Linked DNA regions of Arabidopsis thaliana. The protein of the gene in region 4 interacts with the protein of the main gene of each other region in a pairwise test. Each region holds a gene or a part of one and is shown on either strand. Other genes may lie near its edges.

Evidence for each region.
Region 1: the proteins of CNBT1 (region 4) and CAM4 interact in a two-hybrid assay, tested with the Arabidopsis thaliana proteins (one study listed by BioGRID).
Region 2: the proteins of CNBT1 (region 4) and CAM6 interact in a two-hybrid assay, tested with the Arabidopsis thaliana proteins (one study listed by BioGRID).
Region 3: the proteins of CNBT1 (region 4) and CAM7 interact in a two-hybrid assay, tested with the Arabidopsis thaliana proteins (one study listed by BioGRID).

Annotation. Positions count from the first base shown.
Region 1 is NC_003070.9:24,773,715-24,777,617, forward strand, and holds CAM4 (calmodulin 4), read right to left. Parts: upstream 2,271-3,903; 5' UTR 2,072-2,270; coding exon 1,996-2,071; exon of another isoform or gene 1,828-1,995; coding exon 1,798-1,827; exon of another isoform or gene 1,091-1,797; coding exon 717-1,090; 3' UTR 546-716; downstream 1-545. Other genes in the region: AT1G66420 (DNA-binding storekeeper protein-related transcriptional regulator), read left to right, coding at 3,470-3,903.
Region 2 is NC_003076.8:7,213,950-7,217,658, forward strand, and holds CAM6 (calmodulin 6), read right to left. Parts: upstream 2,104-3,709; 5' UTR 2,002-2,103; coding exon 1,926-2,001; intron 1,165-1,925; coding exon 791-1,164; 3' UTR 525-790; downstream 1-524. UniProt on the Arabidopsis thaliana protein: Calmodulin mediates the control of a large number of enzymes, ion channels and other proteins by Ca(2+). Among the enzymes to be stimulated by the calmodulin-Ca(2+) complex are a number of protein kinases and phosphatases.
Region 3 is NC_003074.8:15,662,454-15,668,183, forward strand, and holds CAM7 (calmodulin 7), read right to left. Parts: upstream 4,017-5,730; 5' UTR 3,903-4,016; coding exon 3,827-3,902; exon of another isoform or gene 3,181-3,826; intron 3,028-3,180; exon of another isoform or gene 2,540-3,027; coding exon 2,170-2,539; coding exon of another isoform or gene 2,166-2,169; exon of another isoform or gene 1,679-2,165; intron 934-1,678; coding exon 735-933; 3' UTR 547-734; downstream 1-546. UniProt on the Arabidopsis thaliana protein: Calmodulin mediates the control of a large number of enzymes, ion channels and other proteins by Ca(2+). Among the enzymes to be stimulated by the calmodulin-Ca(2+) complex are a number of protein kinases and phosphatases. Activates MPK8 in vitro.
Region 4 is NC_003074.8:6,047,043-6,053,181, forward strand, and holds CNBT1 (cyclic nucleotide-binding transporter 1), read left to right. Parts: upstream 1-1,771; 5' UTR 1,772-2,031; coding exon 2,032-2,526; intron 2,527-2,619; coding exon 2,620-2,811; intron 2,812-2,906; coding exon 2,907-3,005; intron 3,006-3,091; coding exon 3,092-3,229; intron 3,230-3,309; coding exon 3,310-3,558; intron 3,559-3,662; coding exon 3,663-3,905; intron 3,906-4,033; coding exon 4,034-4,179; intron 4,180-4,279; coding exon 4,280-4,357; intron 4,358-4,484; coding exon 4,485-4,614; intron 4,615-4,767; coding exon 4,768-5,014; coding exon of another isoform or gene 5,015-5,052; exon of another isoform or gene 5,053-5,129; coding exon 5,130-5,407; 3' UTR 5,408-5,633; downstream 5,634-6,139. Other genes in the region: CNGC19 (cyclic nucleotide gated channel 19), read left to right, coding at 73-218, 292-369, 449-578, 689-929, 1,020-1,297. UniProt on the Arabidopsis thaliana protein: Probable cyclic nucleotide-gated ion channel.

The DNA.
Region 1 (3,903 bases), on a different chromosome or scaffold from region 4:
AACGTCAATACGATAAGTTATCATCCCTTTTTTTTTGGTAACATCATCTTCTTTGACCTCTCGTATTGACAAGGGAGTATATTCAAGTTTATCATTGTAATTTTGGGTATTTGAATGACTACAAGTGTAAATATAACTATATTTTTGGGTATATACTTGTATTTCAGTTTTTTTGGGATACCCATTCGGTTCTTGATTCGGATGGCTGGGATTTGATATTGGATCTTCGAATGTAACAGTTTAGGACCCATTCGAGTATTCATGTCGGTTCTGGTTCAATTCGGTTCCTTCGAATTTAGGTCGGTTATTTGTGTCCGACTCTTTATATGGGAGTTTAGCCTATAAATGGGCTTATAACACCCCATGGTTGTTTTACACTTGATTTTGCTTCTCTTTCTGTATTCACTCTATCTCGATGTATGAGTTTTGCAACAAACTATCGAGTCTTCTTAGGCTTGTTAAGTAAACTTTTTGCATAGTAAAAGCTTTGCGACCACTCTAGTTACCGAAATCTAAACATGCCATTATGCCAACGAGAAAGAAACCAACAAAATAAAAAAAGATAAGTCACAAATTCAGTCTGTTAAAACCTTAAGAAACTACTAGGCTCAAATCAAACCCAAGACATTAAAGGTCGAATCATTCTTTTGTAGATAGTAAAAGCCTAAAAGGTCATCACATCACCACTTTTATTCTTCATTTTTTTCTTATCATCATCACTTAGCCATCATAATCTTGACAAACTCCTCGTAGTTTATCTGACCATCTCCATCAACATCTGCTTCACGAATCATCTCCTCGACCTCTTCATCAGTCAGTTTCTCACCTAGATTCGTCATCACATGGCGAAGCTCTGCAGCGGATATGAAACCGTTCTGGTCTTTGTCGAACACCCTGAAAGCTTCTTTCAGCTCTTCCTCCGAGTCTGTGTCCTTCATCTTTTTAGCCATTAGGTTTAAGAACTCAGGGAAGTCAATGGTTCCGTTTCCATCAGCGTCAACCTCGTTGATCATGTCTTGTAGCTCAGCTTCTGTTGGGTTCTGCCCTAGTGACCGCATCACTGTTCCCAGCTCCTTTGTGGTGATGCAACCTGTTCAATCAGTAAAAGATAACATGAATAAAAACCAGGTCTTGTGATAAATAAGTCTCCAATAAAACTTTTTTAAGCTACAAGAGCCAACAAACAGCTAAACACATGACCATCAATGGATGCCAGAAAAAAAAAGCACTAGACTCTGGAATCTTTCATTATGGAAAACTCATGATCTGTTCTAAAACATACATGACTATACATGACTGTTTGCTTCTCATACGAAACTAAATATTATCAGAGAACTTAAACCTGTAGCTACATACCACCTTACAAGTAGATTCCCATAACAAAGTCAGATTGATATACATACGAAACATGAATGAAACCAGGTCTTTTGTTTAAACGTTTTTGAGCAAAAAAAAGCCACTAATCAACCAAAAACATGACCATTAAATGAATCTCATAAAAACACTAGAATCTGAATATCTTTGGCTATGGAAAAAGCATGACAGGTGCTAAAACTAAACAGTATCTTTGAACTGAAATCTATAGCAATATACCTACTTAAACTACAGAAGAATGACACAAAAAGACGATTCAGAACAAGAATCAGGAACATGATATTCTGCACAAAGCTAGTAACATTTCAATATAAGTCACCTTCAAAGAAACATCAAAATCACAAATCCATGCTTAGAGATGGAACAAAACTACATCAAAAGAGACAATCAAACGATTCAATCAACAACGAAGTAACAATTCACCACACGAATCACCTGAATCAGAGATCGAATCTAGCAAAACCAGAGATTAGACCAAATCCAAAGCGTATCAAAGAATCAGACTCAAATATTTTCTGAATCTGAAGCTGATCGCAGACGAAATCGGAAAAAATGAGATCCGTTATGGTTTTAACAACGATCAAGAGAGATTTAAAAGAAGAAGATGAGATTGAGACTAACCATCTCCATCTTTGTCGAAGAGGCTAAAAGCTTCCTTAAACTCAGAGATCTGTTCATCAGTTAGCTGATCCGCCATAGCTTCTTCTTCTCGTTTCTTTGGTTTTTCGTTTCAGAGAAGAAATGATTTTTTTTTTTCCTGAAGTCTCCGAAGCTGTGAAAATATCTTAGCGACCGACAAAAACAATTATACGACAATGAGGAAAAAGTTAAAACGAAATTAAATGTTTACGGAAGATAATAATAATAATTTACTAGTTGGGTTTTTAGCTAATCATGTGATTAGTGGATGTGGGACTTGAGAGGAAGCCCAAAGGGCCCTTGGATACACATTAAGGCTTAAAAATGTTTTAATAAAACAATTTACATATTTAAAAAGTAATGATTTTTCAATTTTGAATGATAAATAAGACAATCCTCAATAATACAATAGTACTTAAGTTTTAAGCTGTAAGTTTTCCAAAATTACCATTGTTTTATTATTCAGATCATCATTTTATTTGACATCCCTGAAAAGCAAATATTTACTTTTGAGTTTAAAATAAAATTGTGTTTACTTAAAAACAGTTTTATCCTAAAGAGTAAAGACCTAATCTTATAGTAAAAGTTGACATTACTTACTGTATAATAAAAAAAGGATTGAACTAGTAGTTTCTAAAGATAGGAACAAAACAACTGTTCAATTTTCTTCAGATGAAGATTAAAATCTGTTATTATTTTAAATCTCGGGGACTACAAAATTTACCTCCAAATCTATGATTTACTAAAAACAAAATTAGTTAAGCCAACATTTTAACTAACCTAATACTATCATTTGAACACTTATAGGTATGTTAACTGATTTCAAAATTATCTATATACATCTTTTGTAATGGCATGTTTTCCATCAATGTGTGTGAACATTGAAAACATAAACTGTTGAATATCTAAGGTCATCTCCATTGGTAAGAAACCTTCAAAGTTTCTCAAAAAAAAAAATTACTAATATTTTATTATGACTTAATTTTGTAATTAATATATTCTTTTCTTTTTTTCAGTTGTCTAATTACTTCAAAATTTCTCTGCACAGAAACGTTTCTGTAATTATGTTATTCTCTCTCCTCCTTTATGAATTGTTTATATTATATTAGTGAAAAGCAACTCTCAAAATTGTAACCGATGGAGATGATCTAACCTATTTACCAAAAACAATTCAGACAAAATTTATTTTCGGTTTAGTCGTTTTTTTTCGTTTTCTTAATTTCAAAATAATTTACTGGGAAAAGAAAAAATCATCATTACGCTCATGTGAAAAAAGATCGTTCATTGTATGGGTTTTGGAAGTTAGAAAAGTAAGCAAGCAACTTATACCCTATTGGCCATTATATCTACCGAGAAACAACAAGCTCTTTAATTTATAAATTCGTGTAGTTGCCTTAAACAAACCCCAAGCTTTCATTACACACCACAACCAAAATCGTAGTTTGAAGATTCTGATATGTCAAAGAAGCATCTCAAGCCGTTGGAGACATGTTTTGAAGATGAAGAAGATGATGTTATTTATCTTCCTCCAGGTCTTGTGACCGGTGCAACTTCCAAGAAGAATGAGGAGTTTTGTGGCGGCTCCGGCAAGGTACAACCGTCTGAGATGAAGCGTCGGAGTGAAGGGACCTCAACGGACATGACTTCGAAGAGAGCCAAGAAGGTTTCAGCAGAAGATGAGAAGAAAGTTGGAGAATGGACAAAAAACCCATATTTTCAAAGACTGTGGAGTGAGGAAGATGAGATTGTTATGCTACAAGGAATTATTAAATTTGAAGATGTTACAGGGAAAAGTCCGTTTGAGGATAGACACGGGTTTATAGAATTCGTCAAGAACTCCATTAGCTTCGAGGCTAGTGTGCAACAATACATTGGCAAGATTAGCCAATT
Region 2 (3,709 bases), on a different chromosome or scaffold from region 4:
TCTTTATAAAACTATATAATCTCTATAGAATAAATTATAATAATTTGACCCGCGGGTGAATACGATGATCTGATGACCTATAAGGTAGTCCGGTTCGCTATCTGGATCGGGTTAACATTGACCCTATATAAACCAAGCATCCACCAACAAACTTAGTTGACTAAAGAGTCTCTGGACCTAGAGGTCAAGAGTCCAATTTTCGTTTGGGAGATGGTCACATTACATCTTTTGGTCTCTCTAGCATCAGGGAGTGTACGAAATTAGGTTTACAACCTCTTTGATCATTTAAAAAACTTTTAGACAACAATAGATTTAGAGGCTACTTACATTTGTTTCTAAAGAATTTCCAATTTTGATGATCCTAATGGAAAAAAGGTTTGAAGGTTAGGGACTTACGGTTTACAAACTAAGAAACAAAATGGTTTGTAAATTTTATTGATACATATAACTACTATATTTTTCATGTAAAATAACAATAACGTTGGCGATGTTGCAAAATCGTTTTCGTTGGTCAATTCTCTTACTGGTATTTTAAACGCGGCCAAATTTTAGGGCATTGCTTTAAGATAAACAACAACTAACAAAAATTTACAGAATAAAATCAGATGCCCAAAAAAGAGAGCAAAATATGAGTTCATACTTCACATAACACTAAAAGGCTTAACCAAACAAACAAGGGAAATAAGCAAAATGATGTCCTAAAGAACGCAACCAGAATCAAGTCATAATGTAACTTCACTGTAGAAATCATAAATCTTGTTTCTTTTTGTGGGCTTAAGATAAAATTCTCTCACTTAGCCATCATGACTTTGACGAATTCTTCATAGTTAATCTGACCATCGCCATCAACATCCGCTTCTCGGATCATCTCATCAACTTCCTCATCGGATAGCTTCTCACCGAGATTTGTCATGACATGTCGAAGCTCTGCTGCAGATATGAAACCATTCTGGTCTTTATCAAAAACCCTAAAAGCTTCCTTGAGCTCTTCCTCTGAATCAGTGTCCTTCATTTTCCTTGCCATCAGGTTCAGGAACTCCGGGAAATCAATGGTCCCGTTCCCATCTGCATCAACTTCATTGATCATGTCTTGAAGCTCAGCTTCTGTTGGGTTTTGCCCCAGAGACCTCATCACGGTTCCGAGCTCCTTGGTGGTGATACAACCTGCAACCAGATTCAGGTATAATAAGCTTTTAGAGACAGACTTATATCCACAGTCAACAAACAAAAGCCATTGTATTTCTTATTTCGACTGATGAAGATCTGGTAAGTAAAAAAGAGAATGATTTTTTTTCATTCAACAAAGTCCTACTAAGTTAACAAAGAAACTCCATTCATACAAACTAAAAATAATCACTCTTCCAAGTCCTACCTAAAGTGTTAGGGTAAAAGAAATATTCTGTGTTTATTCCGTCTTTCCTTATGTGTGTGTACTAGCAAATCTAGAATCATGTGTATTAAAAAGACACAATATTCTTCTCCAAATCTCTTTACATGGTATCAAAGCCAGAATCAAAACCCTAGCCACTTCGTTCTATTGAACCCACATCTCACCGTGCAAAGGCCAATAATGCACAACAGAATTTTGCAAGTTTTTCACCAATCAAAGCAGAATACATTCCTGATATCTACAACATCAATCCTTTTTTCAACAATTAAACTACTCAAAATCTCAACATATGGATAAATTTCCCAAAACATTTCATTGCTGCATCACGAGACTGAACCAGAACAAGAACAAAACACAGCGTGAGTCATGAATCGCTATCGAATTAGCCAAAAGCTAGATCGTTCACAAGTGAAACAAACACGAATCATACAGAAAACTGAAGAAGATCATAAATCTGTCAAACAAATTCCAGAACTCGTATACGGACGGAGTAATCATCGGGGAAAAAACGCAAAGATCTGGGAAAGAAACATACCATCACCATCCTTATCGAAGAGGCTAAAGGCTTCCTTGAACTCTGAGATCTGGTCATCGGTGAGCTGATCCGCCATTTTCCTTCTTACCTTTTTTTAGAAATCCCAGATTTTTTTTTTGCTACTGAATATATTATTTGCCTCTCTAATAATAATTCAGCAAGAGAGCTTATAAAAGAGAGAGAGCCCAACAACTTATGGTTGGGCCTCTAAAGATTTACTAGCTAATTCAGTAATTCTTATGATTTTTTTGTCTTTTTAGTTTAGTTTTTTAAGACAATTATAAAGAAAACTATAACCTTTGCAGTTAATTTAGACATATATACTAGGTAATAAATCTATCAAATTAACAATTATTAATTTTTTTTGACTATTTTCAAAACTGATTTAGTAGAATATTTTACAGTATATCAATTAAACTTTTGACATTATTTTTTTCATTTAAATATTTAATTATAAAAAGTTTTTAAACTAGGATAGATATTTAAGGATATTAATTAATTTGGAAAATTAAAAAAAAACTTATAATATGTTGAAAAAAATAATATATGGATACATATGAAATGATTAGAGTATCCTCTAAATTTACGTTACAGAAACGGATATGTATAAGCAAAAATTTTACATGAATACACTTTTTTGTAGAAATAGTTAAACTTGAATCGATTTTACATGTTTTGTTTTAATTTAAATGGATACTTAATAAAAAAGTTAGTCAATATCTCTACATTTTTTCCAAGTAAACTGTTTTTAAATTTTTTTAGTTTTTATATTAAAAACAAAAAGAGTGTTCGATCATTTATATGAGTCTTATTATTCCACACCTCTAGAATATATATGTACTCGCTACAAATGAGTCTAATGAGCTTTTGCCGTTGATGATTTGTTCAATGTTCTAATAATTGTCATCAGTCTATAACCATTGACACTACACAAAACGGTTGCAATGTATGACTTTTGTTGAACTTTGTAGTGACTAGTAAGTAAGTGAGAGTGAAGAAGCAACGGTTTTTCTTTCTTACAAAAAACTCATATATACTTCAGAGTTAAGACTTAAAAATATATAATAGTGGATAAAATCAGTTACAACTATTTTTTTTTTTAAATGGTCTGTAACAAAAACATAAGAATTCATCGATTACTTAGAAACAACTCAAATGAGAAAGAAAAAAAAACACCTATTGATTAGGTCCATATCTAGTCAAAATCTGAATACTCAAATATTTTGTCATTACATTAATTAACCCAAAATAATTGACCAAAAAAGGCAAAAAACATAATTTTATTTCTTAAGAAAATTGAGGAGCTTAACAAAGGAAAGAAACGTATAATTGTCCCATACGAAAAAAAAAAATTAAAAAACAAGTGTCCATTAAAGTGAGAGAGTCCCTACACGAAATTAAATAAGTTTTTGTCTGTTAGCTACAAATTTCTCTACAATCATCGTATCTCTTTCGTCGCATCTCTATCTCTTGTTGCTCCTTGTATTAGCCCATCATTTTTTTATTTCTCCTGCGAATTCTCCGCCATAGATTTTCTTTTGAATTTCTCCTGCTAACTCTTGAGCTCCCCAAAGGCGGCTACATCGGTTTTGTCACCTCTACTCGCTCACTTTTCTCCGTCCAATTTTGCAGGTTTGTTGGTCGATTCTCCATGTTTTTGCTTCGAATTCGATGAGTAATTCGGTAACTTAGAGAGTTGCTTACGCTTTTGGTTTATGTGTAAAGTGTGCATAATCTCTATATTATATGATGGTGATGATGATTAGTTCTGTAGCTAACTCGAG
Region 3 (5,730 bases), 9.6 Mb from region 4:
TACAAGACTGTTTAGTGTGTTATAGTTTTTGTTTCTTTAATTTTTTTAACCTTTTTCTTTGAGTTTGTTTAGAAAACAGTACATTTCCGTAACTTAATTGGAGAAGTAGTACAATTACTATTTATAATTACTAAAATATTCGAAAAAGTTTTTGTTTGGTGAGAGAGAAAGAGAGGTGTAACAGATTTAAATAAAGAGAAAGAGAGCATTTGAGAGGGAGACGTGGGTCAAAAAAAATTTTCTAATTTTTTTTTCTTTTCTTTATTACATTTCATTCTCTCAAAGTTTAATAATTAAAATACTTGTTTGTAAATTTTATTTTTCTAAAATTGATCATAGAAAAAAAAATCTATGTTTATCGTTTAATTGTTAACATTTCGGCGGTTGGAGACACTACTGGTTTTGTTTATCGTTTATCGTTTACAAGATGAATATAAATCTATAAAACTGTTAAAATTCTAAATTCCTAGAGATAAACTTGGTAACTTAATTTTTTTTCTTAGGACTAAACTAAATGGTTTGAATCCAAGTACATAATTGTTAGTCCTCTACCAGCGGCTCGCATGGTAATCCACCAACCAATCTTTTCTTTATGCCATTACGTAGCCTATATACAAGGTTATTATTATGTTTTTTAAACAATCCCTCGATATATGCAAGTTATCTACTATTAGCTTTCACTATTCTTCGTCTTCATTGTTTTAAGTTAGTTCTTGATCAGCAAGTACAGTGAGCTATAGAATCGAGCAAGAATGAGAGCGGTGGCAGAGGAGATTCAAACGGCTAGGAACGCGATGTGACTCGGGCTGTGAGGGGTTATGCTGGATCAATTCTTTCTCATTCCTTTTAGCATTTTTGGTCTTCTTCTTTTTCTTTTTCTTCTTCTTCTTCTTCCTTTTCTTTATCAATTTACTTGCGCATTCCCAAACATGACTGAGAACAAGAAACAATAAAAACCGAGTAGTTGGTTCCTTCTTTCTTTGGGGTTTAGAAATGAAGAAGATAATAGAATTAACTGTAAAATGTCAATTCTTTTTTGTTTCTTAGTTCGTCACAAAAAAAAAAAAAAGAGAAGAGAGATATATGAACTGAATTGCATAAAAAGAGTCTTACATATTACTAAAGAAAACTTAATGAGCTTGAATGTTAAATTGACAATAACTAAATTAGAAAAACTCTATAAAAACAAACTTATAGTTTATACGGGCCGACCGGATCAGTCGATAAGATTTATTAAAAAAACAAAAAACAAACAAATTTATGGTTCTATTAGTATATAGTTGATACTAATACTAGAACTATGAGTCTATGACTAGTATAGTGGAAATTATAATAATTGTTATAAATATAACTTTAATGACTAACTTGTAAATACTAAAAGTTGATTTTGCATAAAATAAAATATAATTCAATTTTAATATAGAAAAAAATTAAACAATTGAGGAAAATTTATATCTATAATTAAATAAACATATAAAATAAAATTAAATAAAAAACATATAGAACAAACTATTATATACGTTTATGTGTATTATAAATCCAAATATCAAATTCAAATTAGAGCTAATGTTATAGTAAGAAAAATGTCTATACGTAGATAAATTAGTTTTTTTTCAAATATAATCTAGGGGAGAACCACACAAGATGGAGTAGTTTGACAGTACTATTACTCACAAGATAGGCCTTCATCAGCTAATAAACCCTCACAACCTTAACAGCCTTATCAACCATACCATTGGGCCTTAAGTGGGTATTTGAAATAGAAAATGTTTGATCCCAAGAACTTTTACTACTACTTTGTTCTTGCAAAGACACTAAATTTTAAACAATTACAGTGCACGTTTTTGCAACTAGTAAGCAATTATTTCTCCACGTAATGGATATAATTAGTCGATCTCAATAAACTGCAATATTTTAGAGAAAAGAGAAAATAACATCATCAAGTGGTCATGACTCGAGAGACTAAAGCAAATTATGAGTTCAAACGTCACGGACAATAACAAAACCAAAAGGCAAAGAAGAAGCAACGTTACCAAAAAATCACGATCAACAAAACAAACAAGGAAGCAAATCTCTCTGTTTCTTTTGGTTCAATAAATTACTTTTCTCAGTTTTAAAGATGTAAAAGAAAAACATGCTTAGGATTTCGAGGGATAAGAAGAATCTCACTTTGCCATCATGACTTTGACGAACTCTTCATAGTTGATCTGACCATCACCATCGACGTCAGCCTCTCGGATCATCTCATCGACTTCCTCATCCGTCAACTTCTCCCCAAGATTTGTCATCACGTGACGAAGCTCAGCCGCCGAGATGAAACCGTTCTGGTCCTTGTCAAAAACCCTGAAGGCTTCCTTAAGCTCTTCCTCTGAATCAGTGTCTTTCATCTTACGTGCCATTAGGTTCAGGAACTCTGGGAAATCTATTGTCCCGTTCCCGTCTGCATCCACTTCGTTGATCATGTCCTGGAGCTCGGCTTCTGTCGGGTTCTGCCCAAGTGATCTCATCACAGTCCCAAGCTCCTTTGTGGTGATACAACCTGCAATCAAACCAAAATTGGACACAACTTCAGATTTTGTAACGCAAGAGTTCCGAGTATAACTTTATGAACACTAATATTGTCAACAAGATCAGGAAGATATATAAACCAATTATCTTAAACACAAGTAATATGTCAAGTTTTCAAATGCAAGAAAGCTCAAAAATGCTCTTAGTAAAATATCCTTACACTACTAACCCCAATCATAGTATATCTCATTTAAAAGGACGACGATTCGACAAGTAAAACTGATTGTTCGGAAATCATCTACCAAGTTAACAAAGAAACTTCTTGCACACAAACCACCAAGCAACATTTAAAGCCTCTTTCTAATCAAAGGCCAGGAAATGCACAATGTTCTAAATATGATGGTATTCTCTTAGTAATCAAAGGCCAGGAAATGCACAATGTTCTAAATATGATGTTATTCTCTTAGTAATCAAAGGCCAGGAAATGCACCTATTCTCACAAGAAAGCTCAAAAATGCTCTTAGTAAAATACTCTTAAACCCCAATCATAGTATACGACAAGTAAAACTGATTGTTCGGGAAACATCTACCAAGTTAACAAAGAAACTTTTTGCACACAAACCACCAAGCAACATTTAAAGCCTCTTTCTAATCAAAGGCCAGGAAATGCACAATGTTCTAAATATGATGGTATTGCCAATAAGCATCACAAAATGCACACCGTTGCAAGTTCTCAACTATTGTAAAGAAGAACAACAGAGATGATATTATCAACTTCTTTCTCTATTTTTCTATTTGGCAACATCACACAATAAACCAAATTTCGTTTTTTAGATTTTGAGTATAAACATCTGCAGATAAATCTACATGTTACAATTGAATCTTAAAACCACAATGCCACTAAATTTTGTGAGAACGTACAAATCCGCATGATTATAATCACAGGATTTGTTCAGAATCATAGTAAATCACAGAGAAACAACTAGATTCCAATGTACGATTCCAATGTAGGATCTAGAATATGATGAATAACCTAATTAAACAAGATTCCATAACTACAAATCTTAGTAATCATCAACGAATATACTAAAGGAGATTCTACATATTCTAGATCCTTCTATAGAAGCAAAAATCAACCCTAAACACTCTGGAGATGTGAGCAAGACTGAACGAATCAAAACGAGATCGTTCTTCAAATCACATGAAACAATAAACGAAATGTGCAGAGATTCACGATCACCGCGAAGAAATCTAAAAAAAAAACGACAAGAGAAAGAGATCTGAGAGAAGAAGAAGAAGAAGAAGAAGAAGAAGAGACCATCTCCGTCTTTGTCGAATAGGCTAAAAGCTTCCTTGAACTCGGAGATCTGGTCATCGGTTAGCTGATCCGCCATTTTTTTTGTCTTCTTCGGATTTTCTCGAGAAAATTTTTGCTGTGATATTTTCTTGTTTCTGGAGAAAGTTGAAGCGCGTGAGAGTGAATGTTCCTTCTCCTTTATAAAATGAGATCTCACCAGCTACAGGTAAAATGAGGTATTTTTGAATTGACGATTTTGCCCTCCTAAACGTCTTTCTCTTTTAATTTCTCAGACCAAAAAATTAAGAAATTCTAGTTTTGGGAGAAATTTGTTTTTTAGGTTTGCAACTTAGTTTTTACTATTTTAGGCTAATCTACTAACTACTTATGTCCAGATCATGAACTTTCTGCTAATAGTTTTGAATTTGATATTTTTGTATTATTGTTATGGTATCTTGGTATGATATATATTGATGTAACCTGATATTATACATTGATATCCAAACATTGGTGTAGGCAATTTGATAAAATTCATTTTCTATTTGCTAAGTTTATTTTAGGGTAATATTAGATAACCAAATAAAACATACAAATTAAGAAACTAGTAGAGAGAAAGTTTTTTGTTACAAAATAACCATGGACCCATGTTGTCGGAAGAAATGAAATAACAAAGCTACCTTTCATTTGTTGTAAGATGAACTGTAAACGAAACACATTCGTGTAATTTTTCAAAATAACATGTAACATTAAAATTTCACATGTTATATTTAGTTTTAAAACATGCTATTTAAAAAAACGTCATGAATTTTTAAGAAAAAACATTATTATGAAATTTTCTTACATGAACATAATCCTTAAAAAAAATTTATATGTGATTTTAATAAAACCGTGTATTACTAAAAAATAAGAATATATTTTTAAAGAAATCACGTGTGATCTTAATAAAAAATGTGTATTACTACAAAATATCATGATAAAAAGAGATATTAAACTGAATAGAATGTTTTTTCCATAAAATACCATGTGCTTTTTATAAATACTATGTAATAAGAGAAAATAACAAGATAAAAAGAGATATTATGTTATCGCATGTATTTCGGAAAAAAAACATGTTACAAAGGATATTTATGTAATTACATGTGTTCTCCAATATGTTTCCGACAAGCTACTGTGACTCAAGGTTAGTTTGTACATTCTTTTCAAATCTATAATCATTTATTATAAATTCTCTTTATTTTATCACATTTCAAAATTATAACACAAGAAAGAAAATGGTTAGACAATAAATATTAGTAGACGATTGAGAATGATTTTACGGTTTTTCCGTAATTTAGTAGAAAATTTTTGTAGAAAAATTTCCCGCCAATTGCGTTGATTTTACGATTTTTAAAAAATTTATATAATTGTCATCAATTATTTTTATAGTTTACAATTATTATTAAGTAGCACTATACCACAAAATATTTTTTGATTTTATATAATCTTTTCTAATCAGACTGATTTGATAAGTGGTGCTAAAAATAATAAATTAAAGATTTAACCCGTATTCCAAAAAATAAAAAAATTCTAGTTTTGTGACAAATTTGTTTTTTAGGTTTGTAACTTAATTTTTACTAACTTAGGCTAATCTACTAACTACTTATGTCCAGATCATGAATTTTCTGCTAATAGTAAAGCAAAAATCAGATTTTCATATTGAATTTGATATTTCTGTATTATTGTTATGGTATCTTGATATTTCATATTGAATTTGATACATTGATGTAACCTGATATTCTATATTGATGTCCAAACGTTGGTCTAGGCGATTTTAACGTTAGTATATATTAAGGTTTACAACTTGTATCTATTTAAAGAAAAATTATATTTTATAGTTTATAATTGTTATTAAGTAACGGTATAACACGAATTCACAAGACAATTGT
Region 4 (6,139 bases):
TTGGTTGATGTTGCAGCTATTAGTCTTTGAATCACTCTTTAACTAATGTTGAAATGTTTTCAACTCTGAAAGCAAATAAGCACACTTGCTGGAAACTTATCCCCAAGTTACTCAGTGGGTGAGGTTTTCTTTACAATGGGTATCATTGGACTAGGGCTTTTGCTTTTTGCGCGGCTTATCGGTAACATGCACAACTTCCTTCAATCACTTGATCGAAGGTAAATCACATTTCATCAACAATGTTCTGAAAAGGGATGGTGAATTTCTTGGCTAATGCATGTTCTGTTTTAGGAGGATGGAAATGATGCTGAGAAAGCGTGATGTGGAGCAGTGGATGAGCCATAGACGTTTGCCAGAAGATATAAGAAAGTCTGTGCACTGTGGCATTTGATTTTCTCAGGCTGTGTAATGTGATATTCATAACTAATCAACTGTTCAACTTTTTCAGGAGGGTGAGAGAGGTTGAGCGGTACACTTGGGCTGCGACAAGAGGAGTTAACGAAGAATTGCTATTTGAGAACATGCCTGATGACCTTCAAAGAGATATAAGAAGACACCTCTTCAAATTTCTCAAGAAGGTAATAAGCAACAGCCTCATGACAGCATTAGTCAGTATTCATTTTGTGTACTCAGACTCCACAGTGTTGCAAAAAGCTAGTTCTGAATCCAAGTGTTAATGAGTTTGCAGGTGAGAATATTTTCGTTGATGGATGAATCAGTTTTAGATTCAATCAGAGAGAGGCTGAAACAGAGGACTTACATAAGGAGTAGCACGGTGTTGCATCACAGAGGTCTAGTAGAGAAAATGGTATTCATAGTGAGAGGTGAGATGGAGAGCATTGGAGAAGACGGTTCTGTTCTTCCTTTATCAGAAGGAGACGTTTGTGGTGAAGAACTTCTCACTTGGTGCCTCTCTTCTATAAACCCCGGTACTAATAACATTTGAGTGTTCATAACTCTTAATGTTTTTTGGTTAGAAACTTGGAACTTTGGAGCTGAATACGTTTTGAAACTTGCAGATGGGACGAGGATAAAGATGCCACCAAAGGGATTGGTTAGCAACAGAAATGTTAGGTGTGTGACAAACGTGGAGGCGTTTTCGCTGAGTGTAGCAGATCTTGAAGATGTAACAAGCTTGTTTTCAAGATTCTTAAGAAGCCATCGAGTGCAAGGAGCTATAAGGTACGAGTCTCCTTATTGGAGGTTACGAGCAGCTATGCAGATCCAAGTGGCTTGGAGATACCGAAAGAGACAACTCCAGAGATTAAACACTGCTCACTCCAATTCCAACCGTTAAATTTGATGATGATGTTTGGTTTGGTAGATTAGTAATTTTATTTTGAAGTATAAAGCTTAGTGATTCACTATAAAAGATGAATCGATGATTCATTCGTTGTAATCAATTCACTCATTAGTGTTTCTTAAGTATCTTTTTGCTGTTTTTCCAATCATACGGTATAATTTTACTTCAGGTCACTCGGCTTGAGTAACTTGGGCTCATAATTTCGGCCCATTCTAATTGATCTTAAATTAATAATTAATCAAGCCTGGATAATGAATGATTTTTGCCTTTTCGGTACTTCTTTACTGTAAGAAGTTAATTAAGACAAAGAAACGGAAACAGCCATGTAGTTAATGACATTTTGCCTCCAATAATTAGGGCCAATTAATTAGTTACAGTTGGTAATCAAATAAAGGAATTTTCGAATTCGTGAATATTCAAAAGGAAATAAATGTTAAAAACACAGAGGAGAGAGAAGCCTCACGGACACGAAATAATAAACAATGTAATAAAAGTCAGTGTTTGACTTTTCCAGACATGAGTTTTATTTACAATAATACACTTCCTTGACCTGGGCTACGAAGAAGAAGACCCCTGACTTGGTCATCATCTCCTTTCTTATTTCTTCTTCTTCTTATCAAAATTACTAAAACTCTCTGCTTCAACTTCCTTCTCCGCCTCAAATTTTCCCTTTATGCCTAGATTCTAGCCTTCTAGGGTCTTCTTGAAACCGTGATTTTGGTCAAGAAATGGCTTCCCACAACGAAAACGATGATATTCCCATGCTTCCGATTTCAGACCCATCATCTCGTACTAGAGCCAGAGCTTTCACTTCCAGGAGTCGTAGCGTTTCTCTCTCAAACCCTACTTCCTCCATTGAAGGATTTGACACTTCCACTGTGGTTTTAGGCTACACGGGTCCTCTTCGAACTCAGAGACGTCCTCCTTTAGTTCAAATGAGTGGTCCTCTTACCTCTACTCGCAAGCATGAACCTCTCTTTCTTCCTCATCCTTCTTCTGATTCCGTTGGTGTCTCTTCTCAGCCTGAGAGGTATCCTTCTTTTGCTGCTCTTGAACATAAAAACTCCTCAGAGGATGAGTTCGTTTTGAAACACGCAAATCTCTTGAGGTCTGGACAATTGGGAATGTGTAATGATCCTTACTGTACTACTTGCCCTTCTTACTACAACCGTAAGGCTGCTCAAATCCCTACTTCTAGAGTTTCTGCCCTTTTTGATTCCACGGTAAAGTTTTGATTTTTGTTACTTTACATTCACAAATATAGCTTCAGGATCAAGTAAATGTCGTTGAAACAGAGTCTTTTGTTTTCTTGCTAGTTCCATAACGCTCTGTATGATGATGCTAAAGGTTGGGCAAGGAGATTTGCTTCCTCTGTTAATAGATACTTACCTGGAATCATGAATCCTCATGCCAAAGAGGTTCAAACCTGGACTAAATTCTTCGCCCTTTCATGCTTGTTAGCTATTTTTATAGATCCCCTCTTCTTCTTCCTCATAAAAGTCCAAGAGGTATGTTTTTCCTTCAGAGATATCTTTTGCTTTTCCAAGTGTTTTTATCTTGCCTTTACACCACCTTTTTGACCATCTTTATTTTCTCACTGTAGCAAAACAAATGTATTATGATTGATTGGCCGATGACTAAAGCATTTGTAGCTGTAAGAAGTGTAACAGATGTTATATTCACTATGAACATTCTACTTCAGGTGCTTTTCTTTTGCTTACATTTTTCCATCTCTTTATAAACAAAATATGTTGGCTTTAGTGCTCACGTTTGCCATATTGGTTGCAGTTCCGATTGGCCTATGTAGCTCGTGAGTCTACGGTAGTTGGAGCTGGCCAGTTAGTTAGTCATCCCAAAAAAATTGCCCTTCATTACCTCAAAGGAAAGTTTTTCCTTGACTTGTTCATAGTGATGCCACTTCCACAGGTATTGTTACGTTAGAGCTCCTACTGGTTTTAAGTAATGGTAATCAGAAGATGTTCATTTATGTTTTCTTTTGTTTACAGATATTGATACTATGGATAATACCAGCACATTTGGGTGCATCCGGGGCAAACTATGCGAAAAACCTTCTACGAGCTGCAGTTCTTTTCCAATACATTCCAAAGTTATATAGACTTCTACCGTTTCTTGCTGGACAAACACCTACCGGATTCATATTTGAGTCAGCTTGGGCTAATTTTGTTATTAATCTTCTCACTTTCATGCTTGCTGGACATGTTGTTGGTTCTTGCTGGTATCTATTTGGTCTGCAGGTATGACAAACTCTCAAAATGTCTTTCATTTTTATCTTGTCCTGATCAGCAGAAGATGCATAAAGTGATTTATATTGTTTCCCGTTTTCTGTTGGTTCTTTCAGAGAGTTAATCAGTGCCTTCGAAATGCTTGCGGTAATTTTGGGCGTGAATGTCAAGATCTTATAGATTGTGGTAATGGAAATAGCAGTGTATTAGTACGAGCTACCTGGAAAGATAATGCGAGTGCCAATGCTTGTTTCCAAGAAGATGGTTTTCCTTATGGAATCTATTTAAAAGCAGTCAATCTTACCAATCATTCTAATCTCTTCACAAGATACAGTTACTCTCTCTTCTGGGGCTTCCAGGTAACTGTTTTTTTTTTTCTCTCTTTCAGTTTTTTAGTAGGAAACTAAGAACAACTACTCAACTACTTTGCATTGATTGGCATACTTGGAACTCTTCATTAAGATCATTAATTTTATAATTCTCATAGCAAATCAGCACTCTTGCTGGCAACCAAGTCCCAAGCTACTTTCTAGGGGAGGTCTTCTTTACTATGGGTATCATTGGACTAGGGCTTTTACTTTTTGCGCTTCTTATTGGTAATATGCAAAATTTCCTTCAAGCTCTTGGTAAAAGGTAAACAATTCCATCATTGTACTAAAATAGATATTTCAAGACATAATGGTTGGTTCTATAAACACTAACTACTCAGGTGATTGTGTTTTGTCCATATTAGGAATTTGGAAATGACGCTGAGACGGCGTGATGTGGAGCAATGGATGAGCCATAGACGGTTGCCAGATGGTATAAGAAGGTATGTGGACTTTGCCTATAAAACTTTGTTTTATCCTTTGAATATTCTTTTTCTTAAAGAGTTACATTGGTCTCAGTTTCAGTAGTTTCACTATTAAACTAACTGAATAATGGTTCGACATTATCAGGAGGGTGCGAGAGGCTGAGCGGTTTAACTGGGCTGCTACTAGAGGCGTTAACGAAGAATTGCTTTTTGAGAATATGCCTGATGATCTTCAAAGAGATATAAGACGACACCTCTTCAAATTTCTCAAGAAGGTAAACATATGTGAAACTTCTGTATGCATAGATCCCAATTCCATATAGTGTTGCAAAGAGCTAGTTCTAGAAGCTGTAACTGCAAGTAATAGTTAGAGACCACAGATTAAACCATTGCTGAGAAATAGTATTGAAATTTGAATGGGTTTGCAGGTGAGAATATTTTCGTTGATGGATGAACCAATCTTAGATGCAATCCGTGAGAGGCTGAAACAGAGGACATACATAGGGAGTAGCACAGTGTTGCACCGTGGAGGACTAGTTGAGAAAATGGTATTCATAGTGAGAGGTGAGATGGAGAGCATTGGAGAAGATGGTTCTGTTCTTCCATTATATGAAGGCGATGTTTGTGGTGAAGAACTCCTCACTTGGTGCCTCGAACGCTCTTCTGTAAACCCCGGTACCATCCCTTTTGACTCTATCTCTATGTGTTCATAAATCCCAAAAAGTTTGGTTCCTTAGATGACACTTCGTTAAGAAAAAGCTTGGAACTGAGTATGTTCTGAAACCTTCAGATGGGACGAGGATAAGGATGCCATCAAAGGGATTGCTTAGTAGCAGAAATGTAAGGTGTGTGACAAATGTGGAGGCGTTTTCGCTGAGTGTAGCCGATCTGGAAGACGTAACGAGCTTGTTTTCGAGATTCTTGAGGAGTCATAGAGTCCAAGGAGCCATAAGGTACGACTCTCCATATTGGAGGCTACGAGCGGCTAGGCAGATTCAAGTGGCGTGGAGATACCGTAGGAGACGGCTTCATAGATTATGCACTCCTCAGTCTAGTTATAGCCTTTAGTTTGTATTCTTCATTCTTGATGATACGCTTAAAACAAAAATAGGGTTCCAAAGCTCAAGACTGCTCATAGGCTCATAGCAATGCTCAAAAGTCAAAACCTCACATTCTCCAACACGAGGCAACAACAAAATTTAGATCGAAGTTAAAATCCAAGTATTCGGTGTGCTCGGTAAATTTTAATGATAAATGAAAAAAACATAACAATATATTATATTATAATTCATTATAAACAAAATTATAAGATAATCTATATTATTAATTAGGAAGCATTGTATGAACTACAACATTGTAAGGGTAGTTTAAAACTAACTAAATGAATTTTTGCATGGGTAATTTAGTAAATTAACAACTACTACAACTAAACAAATATCTTGGATTTTGTTTTTAAAAAAAACGAATTAAATCACTAAATTAATAACTACCCAATATTTTCGGAAATCATTTAAAAACGTTTTCATAACATATTAGGTTATTTTAATTCAAATTGTATATATGTAAACTTATTTCTTTTGGTAATATGTTATTAGATAATTTGGAAACTTCAATCTAATTTAATAACAAATTATCATTTACTTTAGATTTTATACAATTTCCTTAACAAAACTATGTTAATTGTTTCTGATTATTACAAATAAAAATAATTTTAAATTATGATTTAGCATATTCAAAAGAGAATTTTTGGATTTTAGATTTGTAATTATCTAAAAAATAGTTTCAGTATACATTAAAATA